2 linked regions of the Astyanax mexicanus genome follow. The protein of the gene in region 2 binds, or shares a complex with, the protein of the main gene of each other region. Links are inferred from orthologs where the notes say so. Each region holds a gene or a part of one and is shown on either strand. Other genes may lie near its edges.

The links. Proteins that work in one complex are often made in the same cells at the same time.
Region 1: the proteins of C-terminal-binding protein 2 (region 2) and zmp:0000001174 are in contact, whole or in part, in a crystal structure (PDB 8ATI), measured with the Homo sapiens proteins. The link is inferred for Astyanax mexicanus from reciprocal best matches to the Homo sapiens genes CTBP2 and RAI2. Residues at the interface, in NP_001077383.1 of Homo sapiens: Leu35, Arg42, Cys44, Met48, Val57, Ala58, Phe59, Cys60, Asp61, Glu67, Ile68, His69, Lys71, Val72; in NP_001166210.2 of Homo sapiens: Glu315, Ala316, Leu317, Asp318, Leu319, Ser320, Met321.

What each region holds. Positions count from the first base shown.
Region 1 is NC_064420.1:11,162,457-11,170,214, forward strand, and holds the start of zmp:0000001174 (retinoic acid-induced protein 2), read left to right. Parts: upstream 1-4,409; 5' UTR 4,410-4,739; intron 4,740-7,758.
Region 2 is NC_064422.1:18,510,863-18,518,948, reverse strand, and holds the start of C-terminal-binding protein 2, read left to right. Parts: upstream 1-4,988; 5' UTR 4,989-5,333; intron 5,334-8,086. UniProt on the Homo sapiens protein: Corepressor targeting diverse transcription regulators. Functions in brown adipose tissue (BAT) differentiation. Isoform 2 probably acts as a scaffold for specialized synapses.

The sequences.
Region 1 (7,758 bases), on a different chromosome or scaffold from region 2:
AGTTTGGACTCAAAATCCCCAAACTCTGAGCGGAGTGACTTCAACTCAGCCAACACCATCGCTAGATCCGCCATGTTGTTGACGGCCTTGTCGTCCGGTCGGCAAATTGCTTGTATTTGGCTTTTTGAGAAGAGCGCTTCCGAGTGAAAATATCACATTCCTTGACTGCAGTTGTTTTTGACATGCTTCCAATTCAGTTGATATAATTAATTTGGGGTTTTCGATTAATTTTGTGCGTGTCTTTACAGAGCTTCCACGCTATGCGACCATCTTGGTTCCCAGCTCCATAGCGCCCCCTTGTATGTCACTCTTATACTGTTTTATATTTTCTGTTTTACATAATCCATCTCTCTGCTTTCCTCCGAGTCACTGACTGCCCACCTGTCTGACCCGATACCGAGGGATGCTGGACCCTCGGAATTTGAGGAATTTGCATAACTGCTTTTTATTTTGTACAGCTATGTTTCTTGTTTCCTGTTTCTGTGCCCATGAACAGGGAAGTGGAGAAAGCCGTCCTGTTGCCTTTCCTTTTCTTTCTTTTGGTTGGGACCCATGAAAATACAACTGAAACGACTTGTTGAACAGTGAATAAGCTTTGTAGTGTCAGCCAGTTTCCTGATGAACGTTATCAGCGCTAGGGAAGGTTTTCTTCCAGAAGCCACAAACAAAGCACTCCGCTGCTAAAAACGTCACCAGGCTTTCCGGAGTTCAGTTTGAACTTAAACTTCCTGAACCTGTCTTCTTAAAACCATACTTTCTTCTACATGTTCCTAGATGGATTACTAGGATGTCTGCTTTATGTCAGAATTGTTCACTCTTAAAAACAAAGGCACTTTAATTAAATCTATGTACACACTAAGAAAAATAAGAGATAAAAAAAGAAACATGAGAATTCAAAAAAGAAAAAGAACTAAAAGAGTACAAAGCTTGTCGCTGGAGCTGTACCTTATTTTGAGGTAAAAAAAAAAAGTACCTTTCATTGAAAGTCCTTTTTTGTACCCATGTTTTTTGTGCCAGTAAAGATTATACAGATTATAAACATTATCATCAACTGAACATGTGTCAAGAACTTGATGATCCAAAATTTTCTGACTTTCAAAAAAAAAAGTGCAATTAAAACATATATTGTTTATTAGTACAGTCATACAGAATACCGAATGTACATTTTTCGCTGGTTAAATGGTACAAATCTGTACTTATTGCTGTTAGGAAAGACTTTTTACCTCAGAGGGAACATCTGACCCTGTAAAGACCAATATTGTACCTTTGAGTACAGAAAAGTACTTATATCGTACATCTGTTTTTAGAGTGTATGATGCCACAACAAATCCCCTTTGGATCCCAAAAAGGACCATAACTACCATTTCTGGAGAACATTAGGTTGTTATCCACAATACATGCTTCCAGTCATTTTTGAGTGTGGTTATGGTGGACACTTATTATCCAACAATGCAATGCAAAATGGAAAGGGAGGAGCTACTCAGTGTCTTTACATAAACATCTCTTTTGCAAAAATGTTTTTATGGAACCAAAATTAGTTATCCTTTAGTCATGATGCAAAGAATAGCACCTTTATATTTAAGAATGAAAAGTAACAAAACAAATTGTGATTAAGGCAATAAAGACATTCTGTAGTAACGCTATAAAAAATGCTGTAGGAAAAATAGTAACTAAAACCACACCCTCTATTTAAAGTAAAGTGTATTCATGAATTTCAATGTGACATTTTTTTGGTGTAGGAGAAACTGGATGTGCGTGTTACTAGCATTTGCTAATGGTTGTGTCACTTGTTTTACTCTTGCCAGTGTATTTGGTTCTTTTCATGTTGAAATGTTTCTTGTATTAGTATTTTATTATATATATATATATATTTTTTTTTTTACAAAAATGTTTTTTAATGGAGCCAGAATTGATTATGCTTTGCCTATCGTGCCAGCCTGGGGCCTTTTGTGTAGCACCTTTAAACAATGAACAATTAAAATAAAAGTCTTTTTTAGGCAAGAAAGAAATCCCTGAGAAGCTGGAGAAACTGAAAAAAGCTATAAAGGAACTGATTACTAGTACTATTGGGTTTACAACATTATCAGTAGAACACATGATAAGTAAACTGGTTTTCTTCAAGTTTAAAAGGTTTTGTGTACTGATGATTGGCCCACATCACACACCTGCACTTAATATATTTAAAGGGTTTACACTTTCTACCCTAAAGGAAGCACATTTGGACCACAGCTGAATACAATACACTACAATTCGGATCACAAACGGCCACTCAGTACCTCTCGACTCCCTTTTAATGGAGGGATAAAACACAGGCTGGGGGGAGGGGAGGTGACCTAAATTAAATTCACAGTGCTGGTTCTTCTTCTTAAATACAACATCATCCAGCTTAATCTAGTCTGTTCCTGACAAGACAACATGCACTATGGGTCTACCCCCTCAATTCTTTCTCATTTTTAGGCCAGTCTTGTATTTCTTAGTGTCAGTTAACTATGCTAATTCTGCCAACATGCTCTTTAAATTCCTTGTCCCTGTCTCTAGTCTTTGCTAGAGCTTTCCTCATTTTTACTTTGCAGTCTCTTTATCTTCTCACTGCACACTCATTATATTTCTTTGTCTCTCGTCTCTCTCTCTGTCTCTACATCTTTATATATCTTTATTTTTATACAGTGTATCACATCCCTTTTTCCTTTTTCCCAGTAGGAAACAGCTGACTATCTCACCCTTAAAATAAAGACATTTGAAAACGTTTGAAGCCCTTAAATGCAATAAATCGTCTGGAAAAAATGTAATCAGCTATGGTTGCCAAACACAACTATCTTTCTTATTATTACTCCATATGTGTGTGTTTTTTGCGTGTCCATATGTGGGTGTTTGAGGGAGGGATTTACACCAGAGACCTGCAAGTCATTAAGACCATTCAGCATTTCTCCCCAGTGGAACAATAGTGCAGTAGCTGTAGGCATGGCCCCAAGCTGGCTGGTAGTGATAGGGCCTCCCCAGGGAAAAAGCCCTTACTCAATCTGCTCCTGATAGGGAGGCTTAACATAAGTCCTGATCCAGGAGTCCTCTCTGACAAAGGCCTGACATAAGCAATTATGAGACTGAGATATTTGGACAGAGTCTGAGACCAGGTCCAGCACTGTTATCATCAAAATCTCTTGCAGTTTCAAGGTTCAGAATTACTCAGGCTGTTTGCCAAAATCTAAATGAGGATGCTTTGTGAAGTGGAAATGTACTAGTCTAGGACTAAGCTTAAAGTGTATTAACATGTGAAATTCATGTTTCCAGTACTCGCGTACATGCATTTTGGTATTTGGAGTGTCTATAAATTACATACTGCAAATTAAGATATTCCAGACCATTTTGTAATTTAGAAACAATGACTGTAGAAATATATATAATAATAATATAATATGAATGCCATTGTTTTGCAGGAAGCCAAAAATATCTGCCAGGTTGTTGATTTTGCAGGCAGAATCAGAAAATTAAAGTTGATACTGATACTATTTAAGAACACTGGATATTTTTTGTTACATTACATATTTTAACGTTGATGATGAGGAACAACATGTATTTTACATTTAACAACAGGCTTCTGTTAGGGTTCAAATTCTGACATTGATTCAACATTCAGTTAAAAGCTTTGAATGGTTCGGTCTTTTTTGCACTCACAATGCGTGAAAGGTGCTCTCCACAAATAATATTAATTCTTATTATACAGTAGAAAAATTATTGATATGTCTGGGGATCTGGGGGTCCAGAAAGTAACCTGCTGTCACCTGCTGGGATAACGGCTAGTTTGCCGTCAGCAGACGGAGTCTGAGAGCAATAATTAGATATTTTAACATATGATAAATGTTCTTATTGTTACAGAGAATGTAAAAATCATTTTTAACTGAATCATATGTAGCGAAGATTAAAATAAAATAACATTATGCGTAATTGGGTGTTTAAAATCACGTTATTACATATAACAAAGGCGGTGGCTGTAGTGTTCATATCGATATCAAAAGTATGTCGCATCGACCGAGATAAAAAGTATATCGTGAAATAGATTTTGGCCATATTGTACATTTCAACACTGCAAGATCACAATACAAGCTATAAAAATAGAAAACACATACAAACATATAAAAGCTTAACTGTGAACCAATAAATAAACAACTCTGTCCTCAGAGATCAACGCTGTTTCAATTGAATTAGAGATGGAAAATTGAACGTTAATTCAATGTTAATTTGCTCTCTGGGTCCCTTTAACACCGCCCTCACCCCCCCCTTCTCTTTAGTGAGAGACAGAGAGAGCGAAGGCTGCGCGCGCAGCTCTGCTGTCACACGGCTCCATCCTTCTCCTCCTCCTCGCTGTGAGAAAGAGAGAGAGAGAGAGAGAGAGAGAGAGACGGGGGGGGGGGTCTTGACAGATCTTGCTCTGAGGAGATCTTACGGTGAAGAGACGGGGACCGGGTGAAGCTGGTGGGGCTGCGCTCGTGTGATCGACCGCCGCAGCGTCCATTCGGTTATTTTTTATCTGCGTTGTTTTCATGAGGAGAAGAAACCCCGTCACAAAGAGAAACGACGAAAAATACGATTATCATAATTTTCTAGCGGCGACTGAAGCCAACCCCCCTTTAAAAATAATGAAATAAACGCGGATACCGAGGATAATCCACAGACTGGCTCAGACGACGCCGCCGTTATTTTCTCCATTTCCCTTGTTCTCTCAGCGATTTACTGTTTCTCAGGTAAGAAGCGTCTCCCTCGTTTCTAGACTAATTTTTAGCATTTGGTATTAGTAGCTAGTATGTGTATTCCCACGCTAAGGATGAATTCGATCAAAATACAAATTGGCCAACCCCGCTTTTGTACGCTCAGTAACAGTCAATGGACCTTTACAACACTTAAAGATCAACCCACTGGTTTCCATATTGTGTCCTGAAACTAAAAAAAAAACAAAACAATTGTAATCGCATAACGCTCTAATATGTTTTGCTTATGAGGCTGTTGGCCACACATTTCCCCACTCACCCCTCGTAGATTTAAAATGAATATAATGAATCTTAAAGAGATATACTCACTGTATTATTAGTACCATATCAACGTTTTGAATCATCGCACAGTGAGGACTGGGAACAAAACCCATCAACAATGGCTTCCAAAAGCTCCAACCAAGCACGCATATATACATTTGTATCTAATAAACTGTCAGGACTTAAGCTCAACCCAAACTCAGTCAGTTTGACAGCCTAAATATGCTCTCCTAGATTTCAAAGGAATATGGTGAAGAAGCCTAAAGAAATATACTCACTGTATTAATATACTCACTGTATTATTATTCATTTATTAGTAAACCAACCATTTAGGTTAACAACACTGGTCTGTTTCCATGAATACAGGGGTAACATATTCACCGTGGTCACCCCTGTGTGTATTATCACCCTTTTAGATCCTTGCACAGTAATAACAACCCATCAGGAATGGCTTCCAAAGGGTCCAGCAGTTATTCTCAACCCAAACATAATCAATAAGACAGCCTGAATAGGCTCTGATCTAACATTAAATACAATCTGTTGGCCACACAGGTACATCTCCTTCTCTGTGTGAATATGAAAATGAACATGCAGAAGCCTGAAGAGATATATTCTCTGTACTATTATAAGCAATTTGTTCGTTAGCAAAGTACCATTCACATGAATACAGAGGACTGAGATAGAGATCTATATGATGAATGCAAGCTACCTCACATCAGTGGTTTGGATCCTTGCACAAGGCTCCAACATAACATGTATATAAAATTGTATGTAATAAATTGTCACTAATTATTCTCAACCCAAAACTAGTTAATAAGACAGCCTAAACAGGCTAATGAATATGAATAACAATCTCTGGATCTTTAAAATGCTCAACCTACTGGTTTCTATATTGTGTTTTGGAGCTAAAATCCATTAAATTTTTGTTGGACTCACAAGCAGTGTAAGGTTTTAAAAGGTATAGGATCACTGCATTACTACCATGACAAGCTATACCACCAGCGTACATAAATAGAATTGGTCTGGTTTCATGACAATAGGGGTGTACAAGAGTGTCCCAAATATAGGCTAGCTTTATAGACATATCCACCATGCTGACTTCTGTGTGTAGAGATGTGTATGATTGCAACAAGGATTAGCAATGGCTTCATAGAATGCAAATATGCACACACATAAGCTTGTACCCACAAGTTTGTACCCTTGTACTGGCAGCAGTACAAAAATATATTTCATAAAAAAATCACCAACAGGGTGGAGAATGAACAGATGAATAAATGGTTAGATGCACTAATGGGTTCTGTCATTTTCTTAAAAAGCAATATTTCCTTTTCATACTCAATAACCCAGTTGTTTTCATCTTGTGTCCTGCAGCTAAAATCCAATCTTAATATCTGTTGGCCACACAAGTGCCTCCCTCACTTAGCTCCCGTAGAACAGTCAAATATGGTTTTGGTATATACTTGCAGTACTTGCAGTCCATTAGATACAAGCTCATATGAGTGACTGGTTAAAGCCTTTGAAAACAAATTTTCAGAAAAAGCTATGAGCATTTGGGTTTACTACAACTGGTGTGACAATTGGACAGTAGTGTGTGCTAGGGGTGTGACGAGATCTCGTCAAGCTCAAACCTGTAAGTGAAAACAGTAGGTGAGCTCCGCGGTACAGTTAAAAAGCTCTGCTTGACAGTAGGTGAGCTCTGTGGTACAGTTAAAAATCTCCGCTCGACAGTAGGTGAGCTCCACGGTACAGTTAAAAAGCTCCAGTAGAGAGTATGTGAGCTCCCTGGTACAGTTAAAAAGCTCCGCTCGAAAGTACGTGAGCTCTGCGGCACAGTTAAAAAGCTCCGCTCGACAGTAGGTGATCTCTGTGGTACAGTTAAAAAGCTCCGCTCAAAAGTATGTGAGCTCTGCGGTACAGATAAAAATCTCCGCTCGACAGTAGGTGAGCTCTAGGGTACAGTTAAAAAGCTCCGCTCGACAGTAGGTGAGCTCTGTGGTACAGTTAAAAAGCTCCACTCGACATTAGGTGAGCTCTGTGGTACAGTTAAAAAGCTCTGCTCGAAAGTACGTGAGCTCTGCGGTACAGTTAAAAAGCTCCGCTCGACAGTAGGTGATCTCTGTGGTACAGTTAAAAAGCTCCGCTCGACAGTAGGTGATCTCTGTGGACTGTGGTACAGTTAAAAAGCTCCACTCAAATGTAGGTGAGCTCCGCGGTACAGTTAAAAATCTCCGCTCGAAAGTATGTGAGCTCTGCGGTACAGTTAAAAAGCTCCAGTAGAGAGTAGGTGAGCTCTGTGGTACAGTTAAAAAGCTCCAGTAGAGAGTAGGTGAGCTCTGTGGTACAGTTAAAAAGCTCCGCTCGACAGTAGGTGATCTCTGTGGTACAGTTAAAAAGCTCCGCTCGACAGTAGGTGATCTCCGCGGTACAGTTAAAAAGCTCCGCTCGAAAGTACGTGAGCTCTGCGGTACAGTTAAAAAGCTCCGCTCGAATGTAGGTGATCTCTGTGGTACAGTTAAAAAGCTCCGCTCGAATGTAGGTGAGCTCTGTGGTACAGTTAAAAAGCTCCGCTCGAATGTAGGTGATCTCTGTGGTACAGTTAAAAAGCTCCACTCGAATGTAGGTGAGCTCCGCGGTACAGTTAAAAATCTCCGCTCGAAAGTATGTGAGCTCTGTGGTACAGTTAGAAAGCTCCAGTAGAGAGTATGTGAGCTCCCTGGTACAGTTAAAAAGCTCC
Region 2 (8,086 bases):
TCACGCCGAGAGGGGCGCTCTGAGGCGGTCCGAGCCGAGGCCGGCCCTGACCTTATTTGCAGTAATATAATGAATTCCACCTACTAGATCTCAGCGGAACATTAGAAGCCCCCCACAGGGTCAGCCGGTTAGCATGTGTACAGGATGTAGTGTGGACCAGGAGAAAGGAGGCATCAGCTTCAACTTCAGCATCAACATCAGCACACTCCTTTTAGGCGTTTAGGCGTCCTGAGATCACAGCTGTGACGGGTGAGGAGATGGAGAGGATTATCACTGTTCCCTTCACAGTAGCACTATATAGAACACACCCTTTCATAGGTTAAACACACAGAAATAGTCCCCATATGACTGTTCTCGGCCTGGGGTGATTCTAGAATCAGTGGTTTAGGGGTCCAGTCCATCAAACCCTCAACTTAAAAAGCTCCACCTCTCCCCTTAAAAAAATTTGTGGCCTGTAAATGAAGTTCAGTTCACAGGAGAGTTCAGAGGAGGGGTGAGTGTGTCTTATTAAAAGAAATAAGATCATTTTTACCTTAAATATCATTTTAAAATATTTTTATCAAACAATCCTGGCACAATTGCATTCTCCATTATCTCGTCTAATGAAGTTGCATCATTTATTTTCACTTTATTCTCTTAGCTATCTAAAAAAAGGGCATGGACAACTCATCCTGGAGGTACCAAAAGAACCCAGAACAACATTTAAAGAGCTGCAGGTCTCACTTGCCTCAGTTAAGATCAGTATTAATGATGACCAAAAATAACACAATGGCCCATCTCACATTTACCAAAAAACATCTTGATGATCTCCAGGACTTTGGGTAAATATTCTTTGGACTGAAGAGACAAAAGTGGAGCTTTTTGAAAGGTGTGTGCCATTACATCTGCTGTAAAACCAGAAAAAGTACTGAAAAATTGTAAGTAAAAGTACCTTTACTTTGCTAAAATTTTACTCAAGTAAAAGTAAAAGTACCCATCTAAAAATCTACTCGAGTAAAAGTAAAAAGTACTTAATTTAAAATGTACTTTGAGTAAAAGTTACATAGTTACTTTTAATTATTTGATGCAAAAAAGTAAAAACAAATCATAAATTAAATTGTTTTTAATGAACTATTATTTCACATAATAATTTGGATCTTTCAGGCAGTATTTGTTTAGACCACCCCATAAAACATTTTCAAGAACAAGTGGCCCAGGTTTCTATGATCCATTTTTTTCTTTACTATTAAAAAGTTATGGTAATATAGGAGACTATAAACTGTTATTTTATAGTTTTACAGTTCATTGTTATTTTTTAACTTGCCATTGATATGCTTTAACTGCTATTTACATTTTTTTTAACATTCAAGCAGATTATTTAATGATAAAAATAATTACCACTACATGCTTTCACAGGTTTGATGTGGAAGTTTTGAAAGCTGAACAGCTCTGTCCGGTGGGGCACATTTTGCATTGCATGAGGACGTTATTGCCTCGTTATTCCACGCGCGAGCATCTGTGTTCTATCTATTTTTTTTTAATTCAGACAATTGTTTTTTTTCCTCAGCATTTTATTTTTTACTCAGTAATTGTGAGTTTTCCAGTGTAGCAAAGTAAATTACTTGTGTCAAAATGTAGTTGAGTAAAAGTAAAATTACCTATTTTAAAAACTACTTTAAAAATTACAAATTACTCATAAAATCTACTCAATTACAGTAACTTGAGTAAATGTAATTCATTACTTTCCACCTCTATGTAAAACCAACACATAATGTCAGAAAATAGAACATCATACTGAATGTAAAACATGGTGGTGGTAGTGTGATGGGCCTGGACAGCTTGCCAAAATAGTTGGAACCAGGAATTCTACTGTTTACCAGAAAATCCTGAAAGAGAAGGTCCGGCCATCTGTTTGTGACCTCAAGCTCAGGTGTACTTGGGTTCTGCAGCAGGACAATGATCCAAAGCACACAAACAAGTCCATCTCTGAATGGCTTTAAAAAACAAAAACTAAATAAAGGTTTTGGAGTGTCCTAGTCAAAGTCATGATCTTAAACAGGTGGTTTATGCTGGAAAATCCTCCAATGTGTCTGAATTAAAACAATTCTGTAAAGAAAAGTGGAGCAAAATTTATCTGTAAAGCTTGATTGCAGTGATTGATGAGTGACACAAACAAGTTATAGGTTTAGGGAGCAAATACTTTTTTATACAGCGCTAGATTGGTTGGGATAGTGTTTCTTTCCTATAATAAGCACCGTATACTATATATATATATATATATATATATACAGTATTGAAGAGTATCATACATAACAGGAATAGTCAATACTCAATCACTGATTCCTACATTGGTGCTATAAATAGAGCACTGTTATAAGGAACACTAACAGTTCCCTAATCACTGATCCTTATTTTGACCCACTATAATGTAGCTGTTCCTGTTCCTTTTATTGGATCAGTTCACTGTTCCCTACTTTTGAACACTATATTGATTAGGATTAGTCCTATAAAGAATTCCTTAATGTTATACATTTCAATCATTTTCTCACATTTGCTACAAACTGACGATCCTCTGACCATCATTGCTCCTCAAAGACTAAATCATGGTTATAATCACCTGTTCACATCACCTGTTTGAAATCGCATCATTATTTAGTTAATTTTTGACCTTATTACTAACCAAAGGCAAATAGCCAAATGTGATTATAGTTTACAAAGTATGCAATGCAATTACCGTCATGTACACTCAACTAATCACTGATTATTTGCATTTATTAATCAAACGTAACTGATGAATCGTGACAGCTGTAGTTTAGTGCTCTGTAGAACACTTGTGAATGATGCTTTACTAATGATTGACAATTATGTCATCGTTTGCATTCCGTTATAATGTAGGATCATTATGGGTATTTTGAGCGCGGCGAAGTCGGAGAATTAGCGGGCGACGCCCGGAGGATTCATCACAACACATTAGACGTTACAACAACATGTAAATCACCAGTTTAGGATGAAAGAGAAGATGGCGCGTGACACCCGGGCGATAAATAACATCATCTGCCGGAGTTTTTAATGAATAATTCACCAGAGTCTTCTGTCACTGTTAAACTTTAATGAAGACAGACATCAGCCTAATCCATATTTACACTCCTCCGGGCCTCGCGATAAACCCTCACTCACTCTCTCTCTCTCTCTCACTCACTTTCTCTCCCACTGTCTCTTTCTCTCTCTTTCTCTCTCTCTCTCTCTCTCGTTCTCATCGAACCGTATCGAACTTATGGAGCAGAACAAAACATAGGCTCGCTGTTTGTCCTATTGTCTGTCCTATTTTTTTTTATTCTTTGTTTACTTTAGAGCACATAAACTATTCAAGCATAAAAAAAAGAAATTGTGGAGGTTGGCTCTCAGAAGCTGAAGGTTGGAATAAGCTGAATACCTGTGCTGTGAGATGTTTGAAGCCCGTGTTTTTATACACTCAGAAATGCCATTATACCATGAGCACACTGAGCTCGTTGTGAATGGCTCGTCATCACTCAGCCTCTTTAGAGCCGTTCTAAAGCCTGCAGCTAAATTATTCACAGTCGGTGGTAAACGCTAATCGTTATGTACGCTAGCTGCTTTCTTAAAGACTACTCTCGCTGATGAACGAGTTACCGTGGGTCGCACGAGTGCGCTACGCTCCAGTGTACGTGACACACCGAGCTAGTGTACAGTAAATGTGTTTGTATTAGTGGTGTCAGTTGGTTAAAAAATTTAATCAGGGGTGCCGAGTGGTCCAGCGGTCTAAAGCACTGCCACTGTGAGCGGGAGGTCGCAGGTTCAAATCCCCGCTCATGCAGCTTTGCCATCAAGCTGCCGGCGCTCAGAGGGAGCAAAATTGGCCCTGCTCCCTCCGGGTGGGTAGATGGCGCTCTCTCCCCACATCTCTCCTAGGGTGATGTCCGCAGCACAGGACGTCTGTGAGCTGATGTATCAGAACCGAGCCGCTGCGCTTTAATCTGAGTGCGCTATGATGCTACTCAGCAATGCTGCAGCAGCTCAAAAAGAAGCGGTTGCAGACTTCACATGTATCGGAGAAAGCATGTGTTAGTCTTCACCCTCCTGGTGTGTTGGGGCATCACTAGTGATAGAGGGAGTCCTAATGAGTGGGTTGGGTAATTGGCCGTGTAAATGGGAAAAATTAGAAACAAAATTATTTTAAAAATGTAATCAGATCAATCATAACAATACTCTGTGATTAGCTGGGTTTGCATACTGTGTCATGGGTCTCCCAACAAGACAATGACCCCAAACATACTTCAAAAAGCACCCAGAGATGTATGAAAACAAAATGCTTCTGAAGTCAGAGTTCTGGAGTGGCCAAGCAATGAGACTGGATCTAAATCTCATTGAACGCATAAAGAGAGATCCTAAACTTGCTGGTGGGAGGAGGCATCCTTGAAATATGAGAGACTTCAAGCAGTTTGCAAAAGAAGAGTGGTCCAAAATTCCTGTTTAGATGGTATAAGAAGCTTGTTGCGATTGAAGCAGTTCATTTCCGTAATTTTTTTTCCAGTGGTTTTTTGTGTGTGTTTTTGTAGTATTGTGTGAAATTGTAAACATTTGTTTTTTTTTTTGTTTTTTTTTTGTTGTTCCAGTACAGTACAGTTTCTTCTTTAACTATGTAAAAACGTGTAAAACATCAAGATTTTCCATAAAAAAAGAGAAAAACATAATTTACGAGAAATAAAAATGAAGAAATAGGCAAGAACTGATCTATTGTTTGGCTTGGGGTCAAAGGTCAGGGTTGAGGGCAGCAGCATTTAGACAGTCATACAGAAACAACTGACAAAGATATGAATACACACCAGTGTGTGTGTGTGTGTGTGTGTGTGTAGTGGATATGGGAGGTGGGAGGTGGAGGGGGGGGGGGGCTGTTTCTTTGGGCTTTGTGTCATTGGTTTAGCAGAGCCAAGACCCCGCCTTGATAAAGAAAGGAAGAAGAGTGGAGAGAGAGAGAGAGAGAGAGAGAGAGAGAGAGAGAGAGAGAGAGAGACCAAAAAAAAAACACCACCCCTCTCCAACACTCTCCAACACTGCTACACTGTTTCCCTTCGGCTCGCGCGGCACGAAAACACGCGCGCATCGCCGTTTTCTCGTGATTTTCTTCGCTACAGATTTTCTTCGCCGCGCGCGCCCGCGGCCTCAGACTGGATACAAAGTATCGCGTTAAAGAAGCGAAAGAGGACAGTATCCCCCTCTCCAAAAAGAAGACTACTGTCCTCCTTCTGCCGAGCTGGGATGCTATCCCTGGACGCCTAAAAACATTAGGAGAAACTCCTTCACCGTAACTCGCGCTGACCGCTCTTCACGTTGAGGTACGCTCGCTGTTTCTGTGTTTTCGGATGCGTTTTTGAGGTCGGATATGTGACTGTTTGTGTTTTATTTAGCGTGTTTGGATTTGACCATGTGTTTACGGAGCTGAAGTTGGCTTCTGATTTTGGAATTCCTCCGTTCCACCTTAAATAGGGCAGCATTTCCATTCTGACTCCTTAAGCGCCAAAATGGAACTGCCGCACTGTTTAAGGTGGAACGGAAGAATTCCAAAATCAATTCCAACTTCATGTTTTCGCCTTTTTTGCCATACGAATCTTAACTTAACGGTAATTAGTAGAGGTGTGGACGCGTTACTGTGTTTATTTCGCTTTGACTATGGTCTTAAACCCCATTTTTATGTTTCATTCATCAAAAAAAGGTGGCGTGTACCATTATTTCTGAGGCAATGTTGATTTTCTCAATGTTGCAGAACCAACATATACCCATATATGGCTAGTAATGAATGATATATATAAAATGCTTGTGTGTATATATTATATTGTATTATTATATTATTATTGTATTATTAATATATATATAATATTATATTATATTGTATTATATTATATTTTGTATATATTTATATAATATAATATAGCTTTGAAAAAATTGATCACAAGCCATCAAACCAAGCTGAACTGCTTGAATTTTTGCAACAGCAGTGGCATAAAGTTATCCAAAAGCAGTGTGTAAGACTGGTGGAGGAGAGCATGCTGCCAAGATGCATGAAAACTGTGATTAAAAACCAGGGTTATTCCACCAAATATTGATTTCTAAATTTCCTAAAACTTTTAATATTAACTTGTTTTCTTTGCATTATTTGAGGACAGAAAGCTCTTCATCTTTTTTTGTTATTCTGAGCATTTCTCATTTTTTTCAATTAAATGCTCAACAATGTTTGTTTTACTCAAACATATACCTATAAATAGCAAAATCAGTAACTGAAGTGGTCCCTTCCAGAGCTGTATGTGGTCCCTTTATTTTTCCAGAGCTGTATATACAGTATGACTTATAAATATAATAATATTTATACAATTCGTCCACCTGCAAACCAAATGGTCCAAATGAATGGAGCCAAACGTGCAAAAATATCCCCCACCCCCTGAAAGTTACTTACTCAGATAAGGGGTTAAAAAAGCTTGTAATATATCTATACTGGTGTTTCGATTTATCTAACTGTAGTTTCTCCCAGATGTTAACCGTACATTTATATTTTATGGTTATATATTTTTTTAATGCTAATCTATGGCTATGACATTTACTTTTTTTTGACTATGATGACATATATACTAGTAGACATATTGCTATTTTTATGACCAATTGGTAATATCACAATTTTCATCATACTTTTTAATGCATACCAGGTTTACCATTCATCCACCTGCAAGTGCTTCAAATACCTCAAATGGGTGCAGTGTGTGCAGTAGTTACTATGTCCCATAAAACCTGTTGGTACATTTATTTTTTTCATATTTTGCTGTTTTATGCCCACCCTGAAACCAAGCAAAGAGACTAAATGGGGATTGATAGTAATAATAATAATAATAATAATAATAATAATAATAATAATAATAATAATAATAAAATAGAATCATAAGTGATCTTTTTTTATCTGGATGATATAGACATTTATTTTTCAATATATTTCTTCATTTCAGTCGATAAGTCGAAAGGCCACAGAAACTAACCAATTCATGTAATTCGCTGTAAATAATGTATATTTAAATATCAGAAATGTGTTGACATTGATTGAATGCCAACCCTAGCTTTTTTTCTTGTTATGTTGTGTTGTGGTGTAAGATACATACAAGATCACATCTCTAACAGGTATTTGTAACCTTATCTGGATCTCATTAGTAATCTATTAATTGGTAATGATGAAGAGGGATGGGTGGTTGAGGGGATGGATAGTGTGCTAATTGTTGTCCCAGTGGACCGCATGTCTAATTCTACACAGATCTTTAATCCTCACCCTGTGGTTGAGGGTCTTGTAGAGTGCCAGATCCTCTTACAGAGGGCAGGAATGTGGTTAATGTTGTTTTATCAGCTGGGTTTAATCAGTGTATATAGAGGAGTGCTAATAGAAGTGTTTTTTATGATTTGGACGTGATGCTCTTGGATATCGTGGTTCATTGTTGTAGGTTTTTTTTTTATTTGCTCTGGTTGTTAGATTTGTCAGAGGAATGGTGAGGGCTGTACATTTCTCAGAATTGCTCAAGTGTGTATACACAGTGTAGTGACATGTATTTGTATTTTGACATGTACACATAATATATACACATACATTTACAATAGATATTTATAATACATACCTAATAGGATACATTTAAGTTAAATGTATTTTTTGCACTATAAGATGCACCAGATTATAAGGCACATTATGCGCCCCTAGTAAGGAACAGGCATACCTGTCAAGTCTCCCGTTTTGGCCGGGAAACTACCGTATTTTACTCCTCTTTCCCGCCGTCCTCCCGTATTAGTATTTTACCGTAAATTTCCCGTATTATATTAAAATTAAAAAATATATATATTATTGAGGAGACAGGGAGCTGACTGCTCTGTGTCTCTTAACCAATCGTGGAACCGGTTCAAGGAGAAAGTCCCGCCTTTCAGGAGAAACAGCCAATCAGATGGCAAAGGAGGGTCAGTGTGGGGAAGCCCCCGTCGCTGTGAGTTCAGGCAGCTAGTCGGAGCTGCTGATGTTAAAACATATCTGGATATTCAGCGATTTTTCTAAAAGAAAGGTAATGGTAGG